Linked DNA regions of Canis lupus familiaris. Each later gene encodes a partner of the first gene's protein in a complex. Links are inferred from orthologs where the notes say so. Each region holds a gene or a part of one and is shown in the gene's direction. Other genes may lie near its edges.

Region 1 (2,308 bases):
ACCTGAGTTCATGTATGTAAAAGTGCTTATGACCAGGTGTGGCCTCACATGAGGCACTGGTAAAGGTTAGCTTTATGGTTTCCCAGCACCACCCTCCCATGTCCTCCAGAGCTGAGTGGGCCTGGGCTGGAGTCAGCCTTGGCCTGGCCCTGCGCCCTGCCCTGATGTCGCTCTGATCCTATAGGCCCACAATGACCTGCTGCGCACCTATGAGGCGAAGCTCCTGGCCTTTGGGATCCCTCTGGACAACGTGGGCTTCAAGCCTCTGGAGACGGCTGTGATTGGGCAGACCCTGGGCCAGGGCCCTGCGGGACTTGTGGGCACACCAACGTAGAGCTCGACTGGGACTGCTCCCTGGATGACTTCCCTTTCACCAAGGACAGGAGCTGTTTGTTTTTTAGATTTGTATCATCTGCAAATGAAGGTTTTCTATGTTTGCTTTGTGTCCCATTGCCTGGCTCTGTGGAGGAGAGGCACCTCCTGGGCCCATGGTGCCCTGACCACTTCCTTCCCTGCTGCCTGTCCAGTCTCTGCAAACCCCTGCCCTCCTTCCCACCTCGGGGCCAGGGCAGCACTAGCAGAGGCCAGGCATCGAAGCGGCTTTACAGATGCCAGCACTGACTTTATTGATGCCTGAGATTCAGCTGCTACTGGAGATGGGGGAACCAGAGTCTCCCACAGGGACTGTGACCTGGTGCCCTCTGCGTGGGTGCCTCAGTGAGCCATGGGGATGGAACTGATGCTCACAGGCCAGCAGTTAGCCAGAGGCGATGGCTAGCCACTAGCTCCCTCGATACGTGGTGTAGGACCATGGGCTCAGCAGCAGAGGCACGTGGAACCTGTGTGTCTCGTTGGCGATGGTAAAAACAACCTGAGAAGCAGAGAAGGCACCAGAAGAGAGTGAGGGGCCTGCCTGTATGTAGTACACAAGCAGCCCAGACTGTGGGCAGGGGGTAGGAATTAATAAGCAGGGCAGGAGCCCCAAGGGCCAGCTGGAGCTGGGTGGAGCTGGAAACCTGGCCAGGGCTGTGGATGGGGCTGAACCCTGCCCAGAGAGCCCTCGGCTTAAGGAACCCAAAGGATCCACCCTGGATGGGGCCAGGTGACTGCCTCTGTCCACAGGGGCTGAGTCACTTTTGGCCCCGCCCCCCATCTCACCCAGGGATGGTTGTGTTGTGGTAAAGTCCCTGGACACCTTTCCTCTGGGAGCTCAAAGCAGGTGAACTCATCGTCTGCCACTGCCCTGGGAGAGGTGGGAGGGGTAGGACTAGCCTGACCACTGTAGGAACCTGGGTGAATCATGGGCCTCCACCCCTCTGGCCCACCCCTGGCCCTCACCTCCACATATGGGTAGAAGCTCTCCTGCCCTTTCTTCTTCCAGTAGCCCTCGGTGTCAAAGGACAGCTTGTAGGTGCCTGCCTTCATCGGGCCTGGAGGCAGGAGCCCTGGGCAGCGGCCATCTGAGTCGGTGTAGCTGGGGAGCGTTGAGGGATGGGGAGTGAGAAGTTGCCTCTGCCTGGCCCCACAGGATCTGCATGGCCAGTGGCCTCAGACCCCCCCACAGCCTGAGTCACTGGGAAAGCCCCCTAGCAGGACCATCTAGGGCCTGGGCTCCTGAAGCGTCTCAGGGATACCACTGCACTGACTTTTTAGACAGAACTCCCAATATACAGGAGTAGAAAACTAAAAAAAAAAAAAAAAAATCCCCCCCTATTTTATGAGCAACAATCCTTTTACATTGGCATATTTTTCCCAGATTTTCTCTATACATAACTGCTTATTTATAAAGTTAGGGAAATACTCTAAAATGGATTATTCTGTTCATACTATTTGATAATTTGTACTTTTCACTTAATCTATTGTGTGTGGCTTTCTGGATCAGTAACTGTACCCAAACCACCATCTGCACGGTGGCCTGTTTCCACTGCACCGAGTGTCTGCATGGAGGGCTCTGAGGGCCTGTCCCTTGGCTCACTGATCAGTCCCCGGTCACCTCTGGAGAGCTCTCTCACCAGCTGTACTTTCAAGGTTCTGTCCTGTGACTGGAAGGAGCAGCATGGACCCACACAGTGTATGGGGGTTAGGAACGGTCTCTACGACCCTCCAGAGCGGGCCACTCCCATGTGACCCAGAGGCCCAGCTTTTGTGAAGGATGGGGGGGCGGGGCGGATGAGTTCCATGTCCTCAGGCCCTGAACCTTTGTGGCCCAGCGGCCCATTCCCACCACTAGAGGGAGCCTGCCTCCTTCAAGAGGCTCACAGGCAAAAAAAAAAAAAGAGGCTCACAGGCAGCGCAAGCACCAGCAGGG
Region 2 (3,500 bases), on another chromosome or scaffold:
TGGGGACTGCCTGCCCAGAGGCAAAACCTCAAAGGCTGGGTCTTGGGGCAGCCCCTGCCCTCCTGCACTGGGTCCTCATCCCCAGTAAACACTGCCCTTACCCTTTGGAACCAGAATGGTTTCTCCCACTGTCTCTACTTCCAGGGTCCACCAGATTCCCATCCACACTGTGCACTGCCTGTCTATGCCCTCTCCTCATCTTTCCCACTCTCTCCAGCAAAACCCAGCCCAAATCATATTTACCAAACACCTCCTCCAGAAAGCCCTCCCTGGTTGACCATCCTCCACTCTCTTGGAGCCTTCCACAGTGCACATAGGTTCTTGGTTTGTTCTGTACTTTGTGCTCTGTAAATGGTTATCCTTTTCAAAGATGAGTTCCCAGCCTCTCCTACTGGTTGGGGCTGTGAGGACAGGATCATCATTTATCTGTAGCACGTACCACCACCTGACCTACAGTATATTCTCCTGACTTATTTACTGTCTGCCTCCTCTCCTAAGAAGGAGTGGCTTCCACCGTCTTCCTCACTCTTGCTTGTACCCTCAGCACTTAGTGTCTTGGAGCACAGTAGATGTTCAAATATATTTGTTCTGTTTTGTTTTGAAATTAATGAATCAAATCATTTGGGAATCTCTGGGCTCAGGATTATCTCCTACATCAGACTAAGTAATACCTGAGGGCTAGACCTGAGATTCTTGTTCAGACTGGGAGCTCCCTGGAACCAGACAGGAAGATGTCCACCTTCAGGCAGGGAACATCCCAATGCCAGGGGCTACGTCTCTATCCTCAGACTAAGCATCCCTGATAGTAAAGGCTGCCCGCCCCCTCTCAGGCTGGGGCTCCCTGAGGGCCGCGGAAGGTCTTCCATTTGCTTGGGTGCCCCCAGGCAGGACCAGCCCAGGGTACCACGTTGTGGTATCCCCACCACTGTGACTCCTGCTTTCCCTCCTGTTCTCAAAGACAACCCTATCCTGAAGCAGCTGCTTCCAGAGCACCAGCAGAAGGTCCTGAACCACTTGTCACCCGACCTGCCGCTGACCGTGACCGCCAACCTGATCGACGACGAGAACTACTGGCGCCGTTGCTGCATGCAGCGCTGGCCCGTGTGCCACGTGGCCAGGCACGGAGGCAGCTGGAAGCGCCTGTTCTTCGAGCGGCACCTGGAAAACCTGATAAAGCACTTCATCCCGAGCACCACAGACCCCGCGGTGATCCTCGACCTGCTGCCATTCTGCAGGAACTACGTGCGCAGGCTCCGCGTGGATCAGTTCCTTCCGCCCGTGCAGCTCCCACTCCAGCCGTGGAACGGGGAGCTGTCCGACTCGGGCAGCGAGGCCGAGATGGAGCAGCCCACCGGGGACCACTACCAACTGCGGGACCTGGTAGCTGGCCTGAGCCACCTGGAGGAGCTGGACCTGGTGTATGGGGTCAAGGACTGCGGCATGAACTTCGAGTGGAACCTCTTCCTCTTCACCTATCAGGACTGCCACTCCCTGGCGGCCACCATCAAGGCATGCCACACCCTCAAGGTACCAGGCGGCCGGGCCTTCCTCTATGTCCCATTCTCCCCTCCTCTTCCTGCTCTTCCTCCTCCTCCTCCATCCCCATCATCTCCCATTTCCTTCTCATTCACTGACCAAGTGAATGCACCCTGCACCAAGCTGGATTCTGGGGATGCAGAGTCGAACAAGGCACTGCTCTCCCAGTTCTCAAGCCACTTACTCATCCAAGGAACATCTGCACTCTGGGCCCTATCCTTGGTGCTGAAGATTCAACAATGAGCAAAATTAATACCATTTGTGGCCTCTGGAGCTAGCAGTCTGGTGGGATAAAAGGCACTCATCAGCAATCATGTAAATGTAAAATTACAACTAGGCTAGGAATGCTAGATTTAGCAAATAAAAATACAAGACATCCAGTTAAATTTGAAACTCAAATACTCGACAGATAATTTTTCAGTAAAGTATGTCCCACGTATTCTGATTGGAAGAGGGAAAGCCTGCCAAAAAGTCAGAGAAAGAGGAAACGGGGGAGACATGGCCTCAAGTCACAGAGCGGAGGGACGGGTGAATCTCAAGAAAAGGAGCAAGCAGCAATGGAGTGGGGTGATGCTGAGGACCAAATTTAGCAAACTCAGAGGTCACAGAGCCGGAACTGTCAGTGGAGTGCCAGGAACAGGGGCCAGATTGGAGTGGTTTATGGAGAGAGTGGGAAGTGAGGAAACAGGATGGCTGTGATCAGCTTATTCAAGAACTTGGCTGTGAAGGGTATGAAGGGGAAATCAGTAATATGAAGGGTTTAGGTTTTCTTAAAAAGATATTTGCATGGGTTTAAAACCAGTATAAAGTTCCACTGGACAGCAACAAAGCGATGAGTCCAGGAGAAAGGCATAGGTTCATTTACCAAGGAAGGTTCTTGAGAAGGCAGGGAGGGTAGAATTGAGAACTGAGGTGGGGCAGTTGGCTCTGGGCAGAGGAGAGAGGATGTGGTGGGTAGCAGTGGGCTCGTGTTTGGTATTAGGAAAATGAAGGGTTCCCATTCAATGGCCAGGGAGGCAGGAGGAAACTGAAGTGCTGAAAGGAGGCTGTAGGGTGGCTCCCTGAAGTTTGAGAAGGCTGGAGAAGGTTGAAATCATTGTTATAGAGTAAGAGAGAATATGTTGTCCAGAGAAACAGGGCTAAATTGGCACACAGCATTGAGGGTCTGAGGGTGGTTCCAGAGATACCAACCAGAACTGTCATGTGACATTTTCCGTTACATCAATTGCTTGGGCACAGATAGGCAGAAAACAGAGTGGGGTTGATCCATGGTTGGAGCTTTGCCAGATAGGTACAATGAAATGATAAGAGACACAAGAGGCTCTAAGCTGGCTAAGGGAGACATAAAGAAAGCAGGGGAATGAAGAATGGGAAGAGGGTGGAGAGGCCCCGTGGAAGAGGGAGGAGTGGAAGGAGCTGGTTAGAAGGAGAGGGTTAGGACTCCCATCTCCAGGATTCCCCATGCTAGTCCTACCCCATTCTTTTGTCTTTTCTCTCCATCCTTCCATTCCCCATCTCTCATCCTGCTTCTTTCCCTGGCCTCTCCATCCAAGAGTTCCTCTCCTGGCCATCAAACAGGAGTTGGGGCATCAAATAGACCTGGATTTGAACCTACCTCTGGGACTTGATCACTGTGACTGTGTGACCCTGAGCAAATGACCTGTCCACCCTCAGCCTTCATTTTCTATCTGCAAAGTAGAAAGAACTCATTCTACCTGCCTGGGGGTTAGAGAGTCAGAGATAATTGTTATGATAACACTCTAGCAGCATGCCTACCGCATAGTAATTTGTCAATAAATGGTAGGCTTTCCTTCTACTGCCTGCCACCAGTTCCGCACTGCTCTGCCACGCGGGGAAGCCCTGCCCTGGCCAGGGCCAGTTGGATGGCCAACACCAGATAAGCAGAACCTCGGGCCTCCCTGTGGCCTGCTCCTCTACCTGCAGAAGGTAGCTGGGCAGGCAGG
Region 3 (3,500 bases), about 22 Mb from region 1:
TAGGCCACAGTAGAGAGTCAGAAGCCCGGGAGAGTGGTGAGCATGGGAGGGATGAGGTCCAGTCTAGGTACGTGTTTAAGAGCACACTGGCTGCTGTGGGGAGAAAGGGCTAGAGCTGGGAGACCAGGTCTCGGTTCGCTGTCCAGTCAGGAGGCGGTGGGAGGGAGAGATGTGGAGGATTGAGGGGCTCTGAGGGGACAGGGCACCAAGGGTCAGCCATGGGCAGTGTGGTGTTGGTGCATGAGGGGTGGACCGGAGTGGTCCTGGGGCTTCCTGTATGTGGATGGCAGGCTGTGAAGGTGGTGAAGCCCTGGCACCTGCGGGTGGACCCTTCTGCCTTTCAGCGGCCCAGCCCTCGGAGGGTCTGCAGGGGCACCTACTCCACCCCTGGCCTTTGCTTAACTTGGCCACACGATGGCTCAGTGCCGGGACCTGGAGAACCACCACCACGAGAAGCTCCTAGAGATCTCCATCAATACTCTCGAGAAGATACTGAAGGGTGATGTCGATGAGGACCTGCCTGATGACTTGCGCCCGGTGAGCACTGTAGGCGGGGCTCGGTCCCCAGTGGGCCGGGTGGTGGGCAGGGTTGGGGGGGGCAAGGCGGGCCGCTGAGGGACAGACAGATGGAAGAACAAAGTCCCCGGGCCCCACCTCCCGTGGCTCTAGTAAGCCTGAAAGCTTCCTGGAGCCTCAGTTTCCTCGCCTGCAAAAGGGACAATGACCTCCTTTGCACAGTGCTTGGCAGATGAAATAGGCCAACAAGCTAACACCTGGTGGGCACTCAGTGGGGCCCATCTAAAGAGGGGCTCATGATAATTGAGTTGTTTCAACTTACCAACAGGTTAGTTCCCCAAAGTCTTTTTTTTTTTTTTAAGATTTTATTTATTCAGGAGACACACACACACACACACACACACACACACACAGAGGCAGAGACACAGGCAGAGGGAGAAGCAGGCTCCATGCAGGGAGCCCAGTGTGGGACTTGATCCCGGTCTCCAGGATCAAGCCCTGGGCCAAAGTCGGCGCTAAACTGCTTGCCCCCACCCCCAAAGTCTTTCTGTGGGGCTTCTGGCAGCCTCTGAGAGAGGCAGCTGCAAACACAGGTTAAGTTCTGAGACTTCACAGGCAGGTCTTCCTGAATGTCTGATAGGCAGCATTACTAGGTTGTTGGAACAGCGGGAGAACCATTTGATTGGCCCATTGCTTCCCACCTTCCACCAGCCCATCCAGGGGTGGGTAGTCCCACAGCAGCAGGGGCCGAGCTCCTGAGGCTGCTCACCGGGGAGGCTGTCCGGGTCTCCTGCATCAGGGTCCAGTGGGGGTGCAGTGGGGTTGTATGTCATGTCTCTAGGGAGGGGCACAGGCCAGATACTTGTCGGGAGCCTTCCTTCCTTCATCACTCATTCCACTCCCCATTTCTCAGCTTCTCTCACCTCCATGTTAGCACCAGACCAAGCCATGTTGTCCTTTCCCTGGACCACTGTCTCCTTACATCCCTTCTATAGGCTGTTCTCCACGCAGCAGCCAGAGATCCTTGGGATCCAAACCTCATCCTTCTGTGACTTTGTACCACACAGTAATGGCCTCCTGTGACCCTTGGATTAAGCACTTCACTTTACTGTAGTCCACCAGACCCTCGAGCCTGGCTTCTTCCCCTCGCCCCAGCCTCGGAGCCCTTCCCCAGGCTCCCAGGCTTGCTCCTTTCATTTGATATTCCACCTAGCAGACAGTCCCCTTCCCTCTGGTCTCCGGGTGTCTCGGTCTTCCTTGTTTGGCTCTCAGCCCAAATGGCAGCTCTTCGGAGAGGCCTTCCCTCATCACTTTCCTGGGAAACCACCATCTCTCTATCACACACACCATTTATCGTTGTCAGGGCATTATTAAAATTACAAGCTATCATGTGTGTGTTGATTTGCTCTATGACTCTTCACACTAAATCCAGGCTCATGGGGAAGGCCGAGATGGCCTCTTCACCACCATGTACCTCGCCGGTGCCAGCAGTGGTGCACGGTACAGCCACAGGGCAACCCAAGTGCCAGGAGTTCATGAAGCCCCACTTGTCAGGTTCTGGCTAAGTCTGGCAGACAGAGACCAGCAGTCCTGTCTGGGGGCTGAGACAGGCACCCAGGGCAGCAGCTTGTTGGCAGGGCCACTGTGTTGCCAGCCCTCCCTCCCTAAACACCTGTCAAATGCTCTTACTAACCAGACACAAGGAGCGGTCACTCCCCCTGAGCCCTGAAATCAGATGTCCCCCAAGAGCCCACTCTGTTAGACCCCAGATGGACCATCGAGGAGTCATGGAGCTCCCTCATGGCACAGTTTCCAGGTCTGTGACACTTAGTGGGCACAGGATTAAAACACCCCTCCCTAATAACCGGGACACAGAAAAATATGGACCCCGAAACTCTGGCAGGCAAGCAGGCTGGACTGGTGCTTCCGGTGGCGAGCCCTCTCTCCTGCCAGGATGACAATGCCTGGCACCATCTGACACCTGTTTCTGTAGCTTCAGGAAGGTTCAGTACCCACTGACTGGGTTGAGGCTGACCACAGTGGCTAGAAACATGGAGCTCCACTCCCTGCAGGCTTGCCATTGTCAAGGCAATGAAGCCTGATGCTCACATATTATCTCCCCCAAAGGGCCCTACAAAGGTGGTACTGTTATCATTCACAATTTACAGATGAGAAAATAGGGTAAGACTTTGTCTCAGAGAAGTCTGTTAAACTGCCCAAGATGACACCATTTGAGAGGACCAGAGTCTGAATTGAGACTCCAGCCTGAGAGATGCCGAGCCTGTGCCCCTCATTGTAGACGATAAGCTGGCGTTTGCCGGCATTCTGGGTTGGCTCATGGCCCCAGGCACTAAGATAATGGGGCTCTGCCTTGGGCTTTCTGGCAGGACTGGTGTTGAGTGCTACCCTCGAGGCCTCATGAGGGCGGCCAGCAAAGCCACTGTACGCCCTGCCCTCTGCAGGCCAGGGAGAGCTTTGGCCTTTGGGAAATGCCTGCAGTTGCATGGAGAGACATCACCAGAACCTTAATACTGTGGTGTAGGTCTCCTTAGTTATTAAGTAGGCTCCATGTCCAGCATGGAGCCCAATGCAGGGCTTGAACCCCCAACTCAGATCAAGACCTGAGCTGAGGGATGCCTGGGTGGCTCAGTGGTTGAGCACCTCCCTTCGGCTCAGGTCATGATTTCAGGGTCCTGGGATCAAGTCCCGCATCAGGTTCCCTGCAGGGAACCTGCTTCTCCCTCTGCCTATGTCTCTGCCTCTCTCTGTGTCTCTCATAAATAAATAAAATCTTAAAAAAAAAAAAGACAGGCTGAGATCAAGAGTCGGACACTTAACTGACCAAACCACCCAGGCGCCCTAAGTTCTCCTTACACTGAAGCAACAAAGCAGGATATTGTTCTTGGGGCGGGGCAGAGTGGGGGATGCCCTGATTGTAAAAGTAGTAACAACAACAAATAACTAGCATTTACTGAGGGCCTCCT
Region 4 (2,374 bases), about 49 Mb from region 1:
TTAAAGATTTTATTTATTTATTCATGCATGAGAGACACAGAGAGAGGGGGGCAGTCACTATATGGGGAGCCTGATGTGGAACTCAATCCCGGGACTCCAGGATCACACCCTGGGCCAAAGGTAGATGCTCAACTGCTGAGCCACCCAGGCGTCTCAAAACATATTCCCTCTTAGCTGATGTTTACAATGCAAACTAAGAAAAGATATTTGACTTATTTATTTTCATATCCTCAATGCCTTGGGCATGCCAAGCCCTACATAATTACTTGCTAAATCAAAGAATAAACCTTTTAGAGAAGCAAAAATGTAAAGGACAGGAAGTTTTTCCTTTCTCTCTTGGTTACAGGATAAAGTTGAACTATCTTAGCACGACACATAAGATCTTTCACAATTGTGACCTCAGAGTTTCCTTAACCTAAAATAGCCTCAGTTTCTTTCTTTCTTTCTTTCTTTTTACTAGGCGCCACACCCAATATGGGGCTCAAACTCATGACCCTGAGACCAAGAGTCAGCCAGGGGCCCCTAAAATAGCCTCAGCTTAGCTACAGATACCCAAGAGTTGCTTATCTGCCATGCGGACCCTGAATTCCTTTCATAATCCTTGCCTTATTTCAAATTTAAATTCGATCAGCATTTATGGAGCACCTCCTGTACATACTAGGTATTTTTCCCCATACACTCTCACATTTAACTCACAATAAGTCTGTAAGGTTTGTATCAATCTCTCTTTAAAGATGAAGAAACTGAGTCTCAGAGAGAGATGTACCCAAAGTTACACAGGTAGTAAGTGACAACCAGACTTTGGACGCACATTTCTCATCCCAAGCCTACTGCTCTCTCTGCTGTACCTCAATGGTATATGTCAGATCTTTATACGAACTATGGGAAAATTGATGATCCTGGGGGGGGGAGTCTGGAATGATCCCATTCAAGTTCTGCTTTTGAGGTGTCTTTGGAGACTCTGTTCACAAGTAGAATGTCACTACCCAGTCCCCTTCCTCCTCCCGCCCTGCCCTGCAGAGACGTGCCAGAGGGAAGCTGAGGCTGCGCAGCAAGAGGCTGAACGGGCCCTCGGAGAGCGGGACCAGACTCTGGCTCAGCTTCGGGCCCATGTAGTGGACATGGAGGCCAAGTACGAGGAAATCTTACATGTAAGCACCACCACCTCTGGAAGCCCTACCACCCCAGTAGCTAGGACTCCCCCATTCCCCTGAACCCCAACTAGTTCATACTATCATTGTCATCAATGGGAGACCAGGGGGGAGGAGAAGCATCTCCACAGAGAACCCTGCTCTGCCCCGAGGGCAGACAGCCAAGGCACGCAACCACACTTACTTAGTAAGAGTAAGAACCTGAAGAAGATGCTAGGAGGAAAGCTCGCAGACCAGCCCAGGGAAACCCTTGCTCTACCCTCTCTCCCTTCCTGGAGCCTGAAGCTTGGTGTCCACAGGGCAACCTGGACCAACTCTTAGCCAAGCTGAGAGCAGTCAGGCCTCAGTGGGATGGGGCTGTGCTGAGACTTCACGCCAAGTACAAGGAGCAGCTCCACCAATTTGGACTCAACCCCCTGGATCTCTAAAGCTGTAAGCTTCGGGGCAGCCCGGGTGGCTCAGCGGTTTAGTGCCGCCTTCAGCCCAGGGCCTGATCCTGGAAACCCGGGATCAAGTCCCATGTCAGGCTCCCTGCATGGAGCCTGCTTCTCCCTCTGCCTGTGTCTCCGCCTCTCTCTGTCTCTCTCTCTCCCTGTGTCTCTCATGAATAAATAAATAAAACATTAAAAAAATAAAATAATAAAATAAAATAAAGCTGTAAGCTTCTAGTCTCTGGGCCTCTGAGAGGCTCCAGCAATAAAGCTGTCTTGATGTAGAACTCCACAGAACTGTGGTCTGTGCCTTTTTGACAGATACAAATATCTCTTTGAGGGCATGTTGGTTCTGGCGGACCCATTACTCTGAAGATTGAATGAGAGGATAGAAATTTGACATTTGACAAACTCTCAACTCCTCTCTTAGAGAAACTGGGCCCCATGCCTTGAATCTTGGGCCCTTTGGGTCCTTTCAAATCACCATCCCCTACTCCCACTACCCACACCCCTCCCCGGCACCAACACAGGTAGCCAGATTTGTGGGGGCAAGGCCATTTCTTTAATAGACCAGCAGTGACCAGGCACCAGCCCCCACAATCCTAAGGTGCTGACAGAGAGAAGGTGTAACTGGTCTCCAAACTCTTGCAATATATGGGGGGAGTCCAGGAGTCATGCCTAAGGCAAGTTCCAGATGGCTTCAATCCTAGCCAATCCCATAGCCCACCTATAAAGGGAACACTGTGTTGCTCTTCTATTTTACAACATTCCCAATACTACTTTACTTCTGGT
Region 5 (4,277 bases), on another chromosome or scaffold:
GGAGCGCAGACCCCTAAGTTTAGCCTTGGCGCCTGGCTCCACGTGGTAACCACCTGCTCATCATAAAGATCCCGAGAAGTCTTATTTTCCTCTGGATCAAGGCAATTAGCTAACAGCGATAGCCACCCCGATTACCAGCGAATTTAGGATGGACTCTGTGTGAATGGTGCTGTCAAGCCCTCTTGAGGACAAGTTCCTGTTTATCTTCAGAACATGCAGAGATGACACGAAACAGACTTTATCCGCCAGATACACGAAGTGAAGACACGTGTGTCTTCTCAATCCCATCAGCTGATCGCCTGTGATGGGCACGGCAATCTGGAGTCGCGCTTATTCAACAATAAAGCTTTAGTTCTTTCCTCCATTTGTAGGGAGGAGTTTCTTGGTTGGCATCCGTGACCCGCACTATCCTAGAACACCCAGCAAATCCTCGGAATCCCGATGCACCACCGGCTTTGGGGCAGCAACCACCCCGGCGCTGGGTCGCGGGGGGTCGCGGGGGGGGCGCCCCCAGCTCCCCGCGCGGGCAGCTGCTTCCATCCGCGGCCCCGGGACCTCCGCAACCTCGTAACCGAACCGCAGGGAGTCCCCGGGCCTCCGCGCCGCGGCGGGGCCCCCGCCCTCCTTCCTCAGGGGCGGCCGCAGGCACCACCGCACCTTCCGCGGCGGGTCCTGACCCTGAGGGGCAACCCACGCGCTTCTGAGAAACCACCCAATCCTCCGCGGGGACGCCGCCCTCAGCCAGGAAAATCCGGGCGTTTTTACCCCGGGATTTTGGACGAGGTGGACGCAGGCGGCAGCTCAGAGCCCCAGCGAGGGGGCCGTCGTCCGTGCCCCCGCCCCCGCCCCCCGCCCCGGCCACCTGCCGGGCACCCCGTGGCCTCACCTGCCGAGCGCGAGGGGCGCAGCCGAAGCCCGCGGGCGCCTCGCCGCCGGCCCCGCGCCAGCTTGTAAATGTAGTAGCAGGCACCGGCCCCGAGGACCAGGCCCGCCGCCACCCAGCCCACGTCCCGGGCGCCGCCCATGCTGCCCTGGGGCCGGGGCGCTGCGCTGGGCCTGGCGCGCGAGGCGGGGAGCCGCGGATCCCGCCTCAGCCCGAGCGCCGGCGCCGGGAGGACACAGGAAATGGGGCCCGAGCCCCGCCTCCCGGAAACGGCCCTGCTGACACGGAGGGACCGCCCACTGCGCCCCGAGCGGCCCGGCGGGGCGGCAGGGGCGGAGCGGGGGCGGGGCCGGAGCGAGGGGGCGGAGCTAGGGCGGAGCTCCGCGAGGAGGCGCAGGGACCGCGCGCACCGAGGGGACTCACTGGGGGACGCGGTCCCCGTCCAGAGGTGGGCTTCCCCTCGCTCCCGCCCGGGCTCGGGCCCGCCTCCACGCCCGGCGGCTCTCCTCGGCTCCCGGCGGCTCCCGGCGGCTCGCGGCGGCGGGGGCGGGGGGCTCCGGGGCCGCGCCCGCCCCGCCCCGCGGTTGCCAGGGCAACGCCGGGACGCGCTAGCGGGCGCGGGGCGCGGAGTCTGGGGGGCCCCGGTCATGGCCTCGCTGCGCACCGCCGACTCCCGGCTGAGGAGCTACTTCAAGGAGAATTACATTCCTCAGGTGTGCGAGGTACTGGAGCCCGCGGCGGCGGCGGCGTTAGAGCAGCGGAGCCCGAAGACGTCCGGGAGGAGGGGCGGGGGTTGGGCCCGGCCGGGAGCCGGGGGCGGAGAGGGCAGGCGGCGCGGCGCCCGGGGCGGACCGGCTCGGAGGCCAGAGCACGGGGCGCGGGGCCCGGGACAGGAACCGCGAGCCCCGCACTTAAGGTCTGGGCAAGAGGCCCGGGGCCGCAGGAGGATGCGCAAGTGGTCGGGAGAGCGAGCGGGCAGCGGCGGGCCCCGGGGGAGGCGGAGCCTGGGGGCGCCAGGCGGCAGGCCCCGACCCCACAGCCCGACCCTGCCTGACCAGGGGCCCCTCCCCCCGTCGTTACAGCAGGAAGGACTGGAGAGGCCCGGCGGGTTTTGTAGGTTTGGGGATTAGGAAAGCAAGACCCGGTGACTGCCATTTTCTCGACAAAGATTTGGTGAGACGTATGCTAAGCCGTGCGTGTTTGCGCGGGTTTGGAGGCTGCAGAAGGGGTCTGAGCAGAGACACGTGTGTGGAGACTGAGGGGGAGAGAAGTCTGGGGAAAGAGACGAGGAGAGCCCGGCAGCCCTGAGAGCCCAGCTTGCGAAAGTGACTGCTGTGCACTTGGGAGGGCAGTTCGGTGCAGCCTTTTTGAATGGTTAATTTAAATTTATTAAATGTTGACTACATATAGCCTTTGACCAAACATTTCACTTCTAGGGATCCACTGGAGAGATAGGCTTTCACGTGTATCCAGAAAGCTGTCCGAGGATATTCATTATGGTGAAAATAGTAAATAACTTCTATATGAATAAGGGAATGAGATAGTATATAAAGTATGTGTATACCTTTTGAGAAGAAAAGCTCTCCAAGACATAGTTTAAAAGAAGAAGAAAAATGCAAGTTGCCCCAGAAGTGTCTCCTACAATGTAGCTACTGTGATTTCCTTTTTTTTCTTATTTTAAAGATTTTATTTATTTATTCACGAGAGACTCAGAGAGAGGCAGAGGGAGAAGCAGGCTCCATGCAGGGAGCCGGATGTGGGACTCGATCCTGGGACTCTAGGATCACGCCCTGGGCGGAAGGCAGGCACTAAACCGCTGAGCCACCCAGGGATCCCTACTGTGATTTCCTATGTCTGTGTGTAGCGACGTTTAAGACAATAATAATGCATGCATAGAACATATGCAAAACTATTAATAGCAAATGTTTGGGGGGAATGCTTTTAGGAGAGAACCCTAATTTTCTTTGCTGTGTATACTTGTGTATTGTTTTACTTTTTTTCTGCTGAGTCTCATTCATGTTTTACTTCTACACGATTATATTTCAAAATATGTAGAGAGCATGGCACTCATCTTCCCCAGGGTGTAGTTTTTCTTTCTTTTCTTCTTCTTTTTTTTTTTTTTTTAAGATTTTATTTATTTATTCATGACAGACACACACACACACACAGAGGCAGAGACACAGGCAGAGGGAGAAGCAGGCTCCATGCAGGGAGCCCAACGTGGGACTCAATCCCAGGTCTCCAGGATCATACCTCAGGCTGAAGGTGGCACTAAACCGCTGGGCCATCAGAGCTGCCCTGGTTTTCCTTAAGTAGCAGTCAGTAAACCCAATAGAGGTACAGAAATAAGATTGACTTCATCCAGGAGAGGTGTTGGCCAGGCATATAGTGTGGAGGGGCAGCGGGGAAGGAGCTAAGCTTTTTAGGGTACCTGAGTGATGGGCCAAGGGACTGGGTATGAGGTGAGAATGGGACCGGATATGATACATGGGTAGAAAGTGGAGGTTCCTAAGGAGTAAAGAGGATTAGCAGGAGTAACTGAGTGTGGGAGCTGGAAAAATAGGAGGGTAGGGGTCCGAAAGTGGAATATTTGGGTTTAAGATTTAGATCACTCAGAATAGCTGCGATGACCCTGTCTTGGTTGGCTGTGAGATACATAGCAGAAAGTGGGCTCGAGCTGAGGGTCCGGGAGCATCAGAGAAGTGATAGCCTTTCCTCACCTTGCTCTCCACTTCCCATAAGCTGGTAGAGGCATCCCTGGTTCCTCCTTTGGGTGAGAGCACCCTAGCCCACCAGCCTACCACATTGCTTTGCTCCCAGAGAAGGGGAGCCCTCAGAAGTGCCCTTCACTGAAGGCGATATTCTCATGAGCCCTTCCGTCACTTCTGACCACGTTACCAGCGGGGCAAGAGAGCAGGCTTCTGGGAGCCCCGCTCCCTCCTTAGCCTGGTTACCCACTTCCCCTAAAGGACTATCAGGATGAACCCGTTGAGCCTCATATCCCTACACAGCTACTCATCTGACCCGATTCAACAGGACTAGCAATCCTCTAAAACCCATCTTCGGCAAGCTTTGGAATACATACATTTTTTTTTTTTTTTTTTTAAATCAGGACTTCCCTGCATATTTAACCTCGTCTGAATTTCGCCCGCCTATCCTGAATAAAACCTGGATGTCATTTCCCTGCAAACCCCTGCATAGAGGCTGATTTAAAGAAAACAAACAAACCACAAAACACAACCCTGCTTGACTTATTGGGTTACTGATTCTATTGATTGATATTTTCCATCAGTTTTAGAAAATTTTTGATCATTTTCAAATAATGCTTCTACCCAATTCTCCTTTCTCTTTCTGGGACTGCAATCGTAATTATGTTAGTTTTTCCCCACCCCCT
Region 6 (3,942 bases), on another chromosome or scaffold:
GAAATGGAAAGACATTACATGCTCATGGGTTGAAAGAACAAATAATTAAATGTCTGTATTACCCACAGCAATCTACACATTTATTGCTATCCCTTTCAAAATACCAACAGCATTTTTCCAGAACTAGAACAATCCTAAAATTTGTATGGAACTACAAAAGACCCCAAATAGCCAAAGCCACCTTGCAAAGGAAAAGCAAAACTGGAGGCATCACAATTCCAGACTTACAAGTTATAATTAAAAGCTGATCAAAACAGTATGGTACTGGCACAAAAACAGACACATAGGTCAGTGGAACAGGATAGAAAATCCAGAAATGAACTCACACAACTATATGGTCAATCTTCAACAAAGCGGGAAAGAATATCAATGAGAAAAAAGTCTTTTCAAACGATGTTGGGGAACATCTCTCTAAATATGAGATCTGAAACCATAAAGCTCCTAGAAGAGAACACAGGCAGTAACTTCTTTGGCCTTACTTTGTGCTCATTTTTTGACCATATGTACTAGATATATTTCAAATAGAACTTGGATCACATTCTACACATTTGTGTTACATCCTTTCTTCCTCATTTCATACATCTTTAGGTCTTTGTAGGTCAGACCCATTCTTAGTAGCTACATTGTTATCCATCCCGTGAAAGCTTTATCAATCCCATTTTTTTAAAAAAGATTTTATTTATTCATGAGAGACACAGAAGAGAGGCAGAAACACAGGCAGAGGGAGAAGCAGGCTCTCTGCGAGGAACCTGATGTGGGGTTGGATCCCAGGACCGCGGGATCACGATCTGAGCCAAAGGCATGCTCAACCACGGAGCCACCCAGGCGTTCCTATCAGTTCCCTATTGATGGATTTCAGGGTCACACTAGTGTTTTAACATTATAAATAACTACAGCGAGCATACATATACATCTGTGTACACTTCTTTCAGCAAACACTAGTTGAGCACTTACTACATATTAGGCATTATGCTCGGCGCTATTTGTACAGTGCTGAACGAAACTGATGTAATTTTCACCCCACTAAGGTAGAGCCTAAGTCCCGTTCTCTCTCCGGGAGAAGAATACAGAACCCAGGGGGGCGTGCAGCCTCAGGTGGGCGTGGCCTGGGAGCTGTTCGCGCGCGCTCCAGCTGCGGGTCAGGTGCCTGCTTTTCCCTGGCGACGACTTGTTGCTAGCAACGGGGCCGTGGTCCGGCGGTGGTCCAGGCGCCGCGGGCCTGGGGCGGGAGGCACCTGCCATGAATCCGCCGGGATCTCTGGGGGTTCTGGAGGAGAAGGAGGAGGAAGACTTGTCCACCCCGATTCTCGGGCCGTCCATATACTCTGACAACCCTCAGGAGCGGATCCAGGCCCGGCGCCTCCGCATCGCGGCGCGACTGGAAGCCCGGAGGCGGTGAGCGGGGGTCCGGGCGGTCGGCAGCGGAGGCGGGGACCAGGCGGGCGCCTTCCCGGGGCGGGCGGGGCCCACGTGTGAGCGCAAAGATAGGCGGTGAGCTAGGAAAAACTTCTTCCGGAAGGTTCAACCAAAGTATGGGATATGAACACATTCAATACACTTGTGGAGTCAAAGACGGAAATAATAGTCTCTGCAGCAGGAAGTTTTTAAAAATTTATTGAAAGCCTGCTGTGCCATGCACTGCGAGCAATGGACTGCAGACACAGGCCATCCGTGACCTCCTCTCAGAGGTCTTTCTTTCCTCCTTCCCATCCCCACCTGCCTGCCTTCCACAAGCATTTCTGGAGTGGACCTCAGCTGTCACTTCTGCTGGTCTCAGTAGCTTATCTGGTTGTATGACACAAACCCTCATTCCTGAAGGGTCTGTGCCTGATAATCATACCCTTCTCAGGACAGGGTTGTTGCACCTGTCTACTCATAGGCACAGTGGGCTGTCACAAGAGGATTCTAAGAGGCACCTGCATGATCTTCTGAATTCCTGAACACCCTCACTGTGTAAGAGCACTTGTACCCTGTCCTGCTAGCCAGGGTCACCTATCCTACCAAGATGGTGACTTCTTGTTTGCTGGCCATTAGATCACAGAGTGGTATGGCTGTGTTCCAATAAAACTTCACTTTAAGGGATCCCTGGGTGGCACAGTGGTTTAGCGCCTGCCTTTGGCCCAGGGTGTGATCTTGGAGACCCGAGATCGAATCCCACGTCGGGCTCCCGGTGCATGGAGCCTGCTTCTCCCTCTGCCTATGTCTCTGAGCCTCTCTCTCTCTGTGTGTGACTATCATAAGTAAATTAAAAAAAAAAAAAACTTCACTTAAAGACGTTGAAATTTGAATGTCATATAATGTTCATGTGTCACAAAATTTTCTTCAGATTTTGATCTTCTTTTCTGAATTCATTTTTTAAGAGAAATTTTAGATTCACAGCGAAATTGAGTGGAAAGTACAGAGATTTCCCATATACCACCTGCCCCCATGCATACACAGCCTGTCCCACTATCAACATCCTCCAGAATGGTACATTTGTTACAAATGATGAAACTCGGGCAGCCTGGGTGGCTCAGCAGTTTGGCACTGACTTCGACCCGGGGCATGATCCTGGAGACCCGGGATTGAGTCTCCCGTCGGGCTCCCTGCATGGAGCCTGCTTCTCCCTCTGCCTGTGTCTCTGCCTCTCTCCCTCTGTCTCCCATGAATAAATAAATAAAATCTTAAAAAAAAAACAAAACAAAACAAATGATGAAACTCCATTGACACATCATCACCCTAAGTTCATAGTTTACATTATGATTCACTCTTGGTGTTCTATGGATTTTGACAAATATATAGTGATATGTGTCCACCATTATAGTATCATATGGAATAGTTTCATTGCCTTAAAAATCCTTTGTGCTCTTCCTATTGATCTGTTCCTTTTTTTTTTTTAATCATTAAAAAGTGTAAAAATCATTCTTTTCTTATGAGCCCTACAAAAACAGATGGGTCATATCTAGCTCTCAGGTCAATCTTGATGTAGTGGATCAACGTGATGTTCTCTGGGGTATCCAAATGGTCCTGATTTATTCAGTCTATGTTTTGACAGAGATCAGGAGAATCAACATGACGCTGTGAGTGTGAGAATTATATGTGTATATATTATTGTCTGTTCCATGTAAATGTGAACTTCTGATTCTTTTTCCTGATTTAGGTAGAAAATAATACATTTGACCCAATCAGCAGCCACCTTGTATGTACATAAGACCACTCTACACTGCTCCAGCAAAGATACCACATTTACATGGCAACAGCAATGAGGCCTACTACTTGGTTGAGCTTGCAGTATTGATAATCATATTCTCAGATGCAACCAGTTTTTGCAGGGACCAGACCCGTGAACTAAATGGAAACATGATGGGGGGGGGGGGGGACCACCACTCCTGTATCCTTGAGATCCTTAAGGGTGATACTAATTTCCACCATCCCCACTCCCTAGCCCCCACTTTGTGATTGTTTTTATGTATTCAGGTACAGTTTTAAAGATGTCCACTTGGCCTTCCCTCCCATGATAACTCTTACCCACTCACCAACAACTTAATGTGGGAATTTCTCAAATTTCTAAGTATGTTAAGATCACTCTGATTGCTGTCTGAGGGATTGGTTTGCAGAAGCCAGAAGTATAATTGAAGAGGACAGTTAGGAAGCAGTTGCATTGGTTCTGTGAGGGATGAAGTTGGTCTGGTGGGTTTGGAGAGAAAGCAGATGTAGTCAAGAAATGCTTTACAGCTTAAACTGACTGGATTTACTGATTTTAGATATGCTAGTCAAAGACAGGGAAAAAGCAAGAATGGCTTGAACAGCTGAGTAGATGGTAGTGCCTTGCATTGAAATGATAAAGATGGTGATGGGGGAAGTGAGTCAGGAGGATTTGGAAATCAAGAGTTTGGCTTTGGACATATTCAGTGAAATTGGATTTTGGAAGACTTTAAAACCAAGATGTCCATTAGGCATTTG
Region 7 (3,500 bases), on another chromosome or scaffold:
TAAGGAAAGACAGGATCAAATTTTTAGTTTAAAAAAAAAATGATTTTCAATTTTAAAAAGATCACCTCCAATTTGGGGGCTGTTACAGTTGTTCAAGAAACAACAGTCAGGTCCAGCATGGTGTTGGGGGACATGGAAATAGAAGATAAAATCCACAGGACTTAGTGATGGTTTGGATTGGGAAATGCTGGGGTCAAGATGAAGGAGGAATACTCCTAGATTTCTAGCATTGAGAAATGGGAAACCAGAAGAGCATGAACTTGCTGGATACTGCATTAGCATAGCCCTGTCTTACCTGCATGAAGCACATTTACCTATGCCCCAAGCCTAAAAATAGGGAAAATAGAGAAACAACAATAACACATCAAAAGAACAAAAATCTTTATACCATGATACTTCCTCTTAACACTGCTGTTGTACCAGAAAATTTGGCTAGTTTGGAGTATCTTTTTTTTTTCAGTTTGCATAAAGATTCTGTTTATATGTTTTCACTTTTACATAAGAGACTTCTGTTGTATGAGACATGTTTGTATCAGCCTTCTTAGGATCACCTTATTGTGGACAAAACCATACTGGAAACGAAACTATTTATTATTCATTTAGCCTAGAGTAAAATTCTTCATATGGCATTGTCATCATAAAGCTTTTTCAAGCAGAAAGAATTTTGGCTTATGGAGGGGTAACATCTTGGTAGTAACAGCGCAGTGATTTTCAGGAGAAATACAGCCTTTCAAAAAAAAAAAAATACAGCCTTTCTAAATACAGTCTCAAGTGTTCTTTTTTTTTTTTAATTTTTATTTATTTATGATAGTCACACAGAGAGAGGAGAGAGGCTGAGACACAGGCAGAGGGAGAAGCAGGCTCCATGCACCCGGAGCCCGACGTGGGATTCGATCCTGGGTCTCCAGGATCGCGCCCTGGGTAAAAGGCAGGCGCCAAACCACTGCGCCACCCAGGGATCCCATCAAGTGTTCTTTTAAGTCCAGATGCAATTAATTTTGCTGTCTGGCAGACCAGTGAAATGGAATGCTCAAATTAAATATTTTAGAATCAGAATAACGGAAAAGTAAATCTATTACATAGATATTGCCAGTTAAAAATCAGAATTTAATAAAAATACGAAACCCATGTTGTATATTAATTTACCATGAGACTCAAACATGCATTTATCAATAATTGTATTTGTCAATAATTAAGCTGACTACCTAATAGTCCTGCATCACATGATGCCAGAGTTTCTTCCATCTCTGGCACTGCTCTAATAAGCAAAAAAGAAAGGATAAGCTGAAGCTCTTTTGAAAGGGTATGGAAATAATTTAAATGTCATTCAACCCTCTCTTAAACTAATCTGTGTTTTCTTCCCATTTTAGGTGACTGCATTTTTTGTGAAATTGTAAATGTACCATTGAAGTTACAACTAATTTAAGAAGAATGGAAGAGTATGTTCAAAATTCCAATTTATTTTGTATACGTATTTGTTTATTTATCTATTATTTGAATTGTGCCTTATGTTAAATTTATTTATCTATTGCTGGGAACAAAGTACTCCAAAGCTTAGTAACTTAAAATATCAACTTTTATTATTTCACATGGTTTCTGTGGGTCAGGAATTTGGGAACAGCTTTGCTGGATGGTTCTGGGTTATGGGTCTGTCATAAGGTTGAAGTTGGCCAGGGCTTCAATCGTCTGAAAATTTGGGGCTGGAAGATCCACTTCCAACATAGCTCATTTACAAAGCTGGGGAGTTGATACTGGCTGTTGGCAAGAGGCATTAGTTCCACACCCTCAAAAACTTCCCCAAAGAGCTGCTTAAGTGTCCTCATGACAAAGCAGCTGGCTTTTTACAGAGTGGGAGATACGAGAAGGAGAGTAAGGGAGAAGCTGCAATGTCTTTTATCACCGAACGGTGGAACCCACAGTATCTTCCTGGTTACATAGGGTAGTTAGTCCTATTAATGTCGGGGAGACTACAAGGGTATGATTACAAGAAGGTGAGAATCATATGGATCCATTTTGGAGATTGACTACTACATACTGTTTTTGTTTGTTTGTAAAGATTTTATTTATTCATGAGACACACACACAGAGAGGCAGAGACACAGGCAGAGGGAGAAGCAGGCTCCCTGCGGGGAGCCTGACGCGGGACTGACTGGATCCCAGGACTCCGGGATCACACCCTGAGCAGAAGGCAAACGCACAACCACTGAGCCATCCAGGTGTCGATGTTTTTATCTTTTTTTTAAGTAAACTCTGTGCCGGACATGGGACTCAAACTCACAACCCCAAGGTTAAGAGTCACATGCTACACTGACTGAGCCAGCCAGGTGCTCCTGCCACATTCTGTTTTTCATTAATCATGAGATACTTTTGATTAGCATTTAAAGATGTTGCTAGAAAAAAAAGGTAATTTGGGCTCGAATTCAAATTGGCTAAGCATGGCCAAATAGTATGGTTAGGTTAACACAGAGTTACTAAACAGTAAGTGGAGGGACGCCTGGCTGGCTCAGCCGTTGAGCTCCTGCTTTAAGCTCAGGGCGTGATCCTGGAGTTTTCGGATGGAGTCTCACATCAGGCTCCCTGCAGGGAGTGGCTTGCCTTTGGTTAGTCAGAATGTCACAGGAAGATATTTAGCAGAACCACATGTAAACTCCTTCTTTTGTTCGTTATCTTGGTTATTTGACAATGTGGACTTCACAGGAGCCCATCTGTATGATGCCCGTGCTTTTTAGTTGAAGCAATTTTTAAACATTTGGTGGCTGACTTAATTTTTTATTTTTTTCTTTAGAGGCCAGTTAGAAGCCTCAAATCTTCCAGCGAACATCTGGCATTCTGAGGTGACAGTGTCAGTGACAGGCGAGCCACCCAGTGCTGTAGAAGAAGAAAAAGAAACAGCTGAAGAAACAGAAAAAGAAAAAGAAGTCCTCCCGGAAATCGTAGAGCCACTCTCCATTCTAGATGTGCTGAGGATCTCTGCAGTTCTGGAAGATACTGCAGACCAGCTCTCTATTCTAAACTATATCATGCCAGTTCAGTATGAAAGAAAACAAAGTGTCATCATGGTATATACACTCGTCATTATCTAGTTCTTGCTTTCTTTCCTCTTTATTTCTCTATCATTTACAGTACTTACGCCATCAAATTTAACTTGGGAAATAGCATCTTTAACTCAGATAAAAAGGGCTATAATAATTACTTGAGATACATACTCTGAATTGATGGAATGAAATAACCATAGCTCAAGATACATTGACAACCAGAATATCCTTTTCTTCCAACATGTTGGCATTATTCAAAAAGGCCTATAGTAAATCAGGATAAATACAGTATATGCACTGAGAGTAGCCAAATTACTGACTTGCCCCACCTATCTTGTAATTCTTAGCTGCTGAAAGCTAACTCAATCCTCAGGGGAGGAAATTCAGTTGGACCTTCTCAACGTTTCTTCTAAAATAACTTTGTTATATTGTTGAACACATTGCACCCTGCCTTTGTGAACATCC

Evidence for each region.
Region 2: GAS8 (region 1) and TCTE1 share a complex: the UniProt entries of both Homo sapiens proteins name them as parts of the nexin-dynein regulatory complex. The link is inferred for Canis lupus familiaris from reciprocal best matches to the Homo sapiens genes DRC4 and DRC5.
Region 3: GAS8 (region 1) and DRC3 share a complex: the UniProt entries of both Homo sapiens proteins name them as parts of the nexin-dynein regulatory complex. The link is inferred for Canis lupus familiaris from reciprocal best matches to the Homo sapiens genes DRC4 and DRC3.
Region 4: GAS8 (region 1) and CCDC153 share a complex: the UniProt entries of both Homo sapiens proteins name them as parts of the nexin-dynein regulatory complex. The link is inferred for Canis lupus familiaris from reciprocal best matches to the Homo sapiens genes DRC4 and DRC12.
Region 5: GAS8 (region 1) and FBXL13 share a complex: the UniProt entries of both Homo sapiens proteins name them as parts of the nexin-dynein regulatory complex. The link is inferred for Canis lupus familiaris from reciprocal best matches to the Homo sapiens genes DRC4 and FBXL13.
Region 6: GAS8 (region 1) and DRC1 share a complex: the UniProt entries of both Homo sapiens proteins name them as parts of the nexin-dynein regulatory complex. The link is inferred for Canis lupus familiaris from reciprocal best matches to the Homo sapiens genes DRC4 and DRC1.
Region 7: GAS8 (region 1) and IQCG share a complex: the UniProt entries of both Homo sapiens proteins name them as parts of the nexin-dynein regulatory complex. The link is inferred for Canis lupus familiaris from reciprocal best matches to the Homo sapiens genes DRC4 and DRC9.

Annotation. Positions count from the first base shown.
Region 1 is NC_049226.1:64,079,848-64,082,155, reverse strand, and holds the end of GAS8 (dynein regulatory complex subunit 4), read left to right. Parts: intron 1-184; coding exon 185-334; 3' UTR 335-781; coding exon of another isoform or gene 782-871; 3' UTR 872-1,338; coding exon of another isoform or gene 1,339-1,474; 3' UTR 1,475-1,808; downstream 1,809-2,308. Other genes in the region: cadherin-1-like, read right to left, coding at 782-871, 1,339-1,474. UniProt on the Homo sapiens protein: Component of the nexin-dynein regulatory complex (N-DRC), a key regulator of ciliary/flagellar motility which maintains the alignment and integrity of the distal axoneme and regulates microtubule sliding in motile axonemes.
Region 2 is NC_049233.1:12,884,119-12,887,618, reverse strand, and holds part of TCTE1 (dynein regulatory complex subunit 5), read left to right. Parts: intron 1-958; coding exon 959-1,527; intron 1,528-3,500. UniProt on the Homo sapiens protein: Component of the nexin-dynein regulatory complex (N-DRC) a key regulator of ciliary/flagellar motility which maintains the alignment and integrity of the distal axoneme and regulates microtubule sliding in motile axonemes.
Region 3 is NC_049226.1:41,717,046-41,720,545, reverse strand, and holds part of DRC3 (dynein regulatory complex subunit 3), read left to right. Parts: intron 1-413; coding exon 414-537; intron 538-3,500. UniProt on the Homo sapiens protein: Component of the nexin-dynein regulatory complex (N-DRC) a key regulator of ciliary/flagellar motility which maintains the alignment and integrity of the distal axoneme and regulates microtubule sliding in motile axonemes.
Region 4 is NC_049226.1:14,710,436-14,712,809, forward strand, and holds the end of CCDC153 (coiled-coil domain-containing protein 153), read left to right. Parts: exon of another isoform or gene 1-1,007; intron 1,008-1,020; coding exon 1,021-1,151; intron 1,152-1,450; coding exon 1,451-1,579; 3' UTR 1,580-1,874; downstream 1,875-2,374. UniProt on the Homo sapiens protein: Component of the nexin-dynein regulatory complex (N-DRC), a key regulator of ciliary/flagellar motility which maintains the alignment and integrity of the distal axoneme and regulates microtubule sliding in motile axonemes.
Region 5 is NC_049239.1:17,297,696-17,301,972, forward strand, and holds the start of FBXL13 (dynein regulatory complex subunit 6), read left to right. Parts: upstream 1-1,477; 5' UTR 1,478-1,530; coding exon 1,531-1,605; intron 1,606-4,277. Other genes in the region: ARMC10 (armadillo repeat-containing protein 10), read right to left, coding at 887-1,025. UniProt on the Homo sapiens protein: Substrate-recognition component of the SCF (SKP1-CUL1-F-box protein)-type E3 ubiquitin ligase complex.
Region 6 is NC_049238.1:20,544,276-20,548,217, forward strand, and holds the start of DRC1 (dynein regulatory complex protein 1), read left to right. Parts: upstream 1-1,142; 5' UTR 1,143-1,240; coding exon 1,241-1,395; intron 1,396-3,942. UniProt on the Homo sapiens protein: Component of the nexin-dynein regulatory complex (N-DRC) a key regulator of ciliary/flagellar motility which maintains the alignment and integrity of the distal axoneme and regulates microtubule sliding in motile axonemes.
Region 7 is NC_049254.1:29,443,724-29,447,223, forward strand, and holds part of IQCG (dynein regulatory complex protein 9), read left to right. Parts: intron 1-1,370; 5' UTR 1,371-1,431; coding exon 1,432-1,439; intron 1,440-2,785; coding exon 2,786-3,059; intron 3,060-3,500. UniProt on the Homo sapiens protein: Component of the nexin-dynein regulatory complex (N-DRC), a key regulator of ciliary/flagellar motility which maintains the alignment and integrity of the distal axoneme and regulates microtubule sliding in motile axonemes.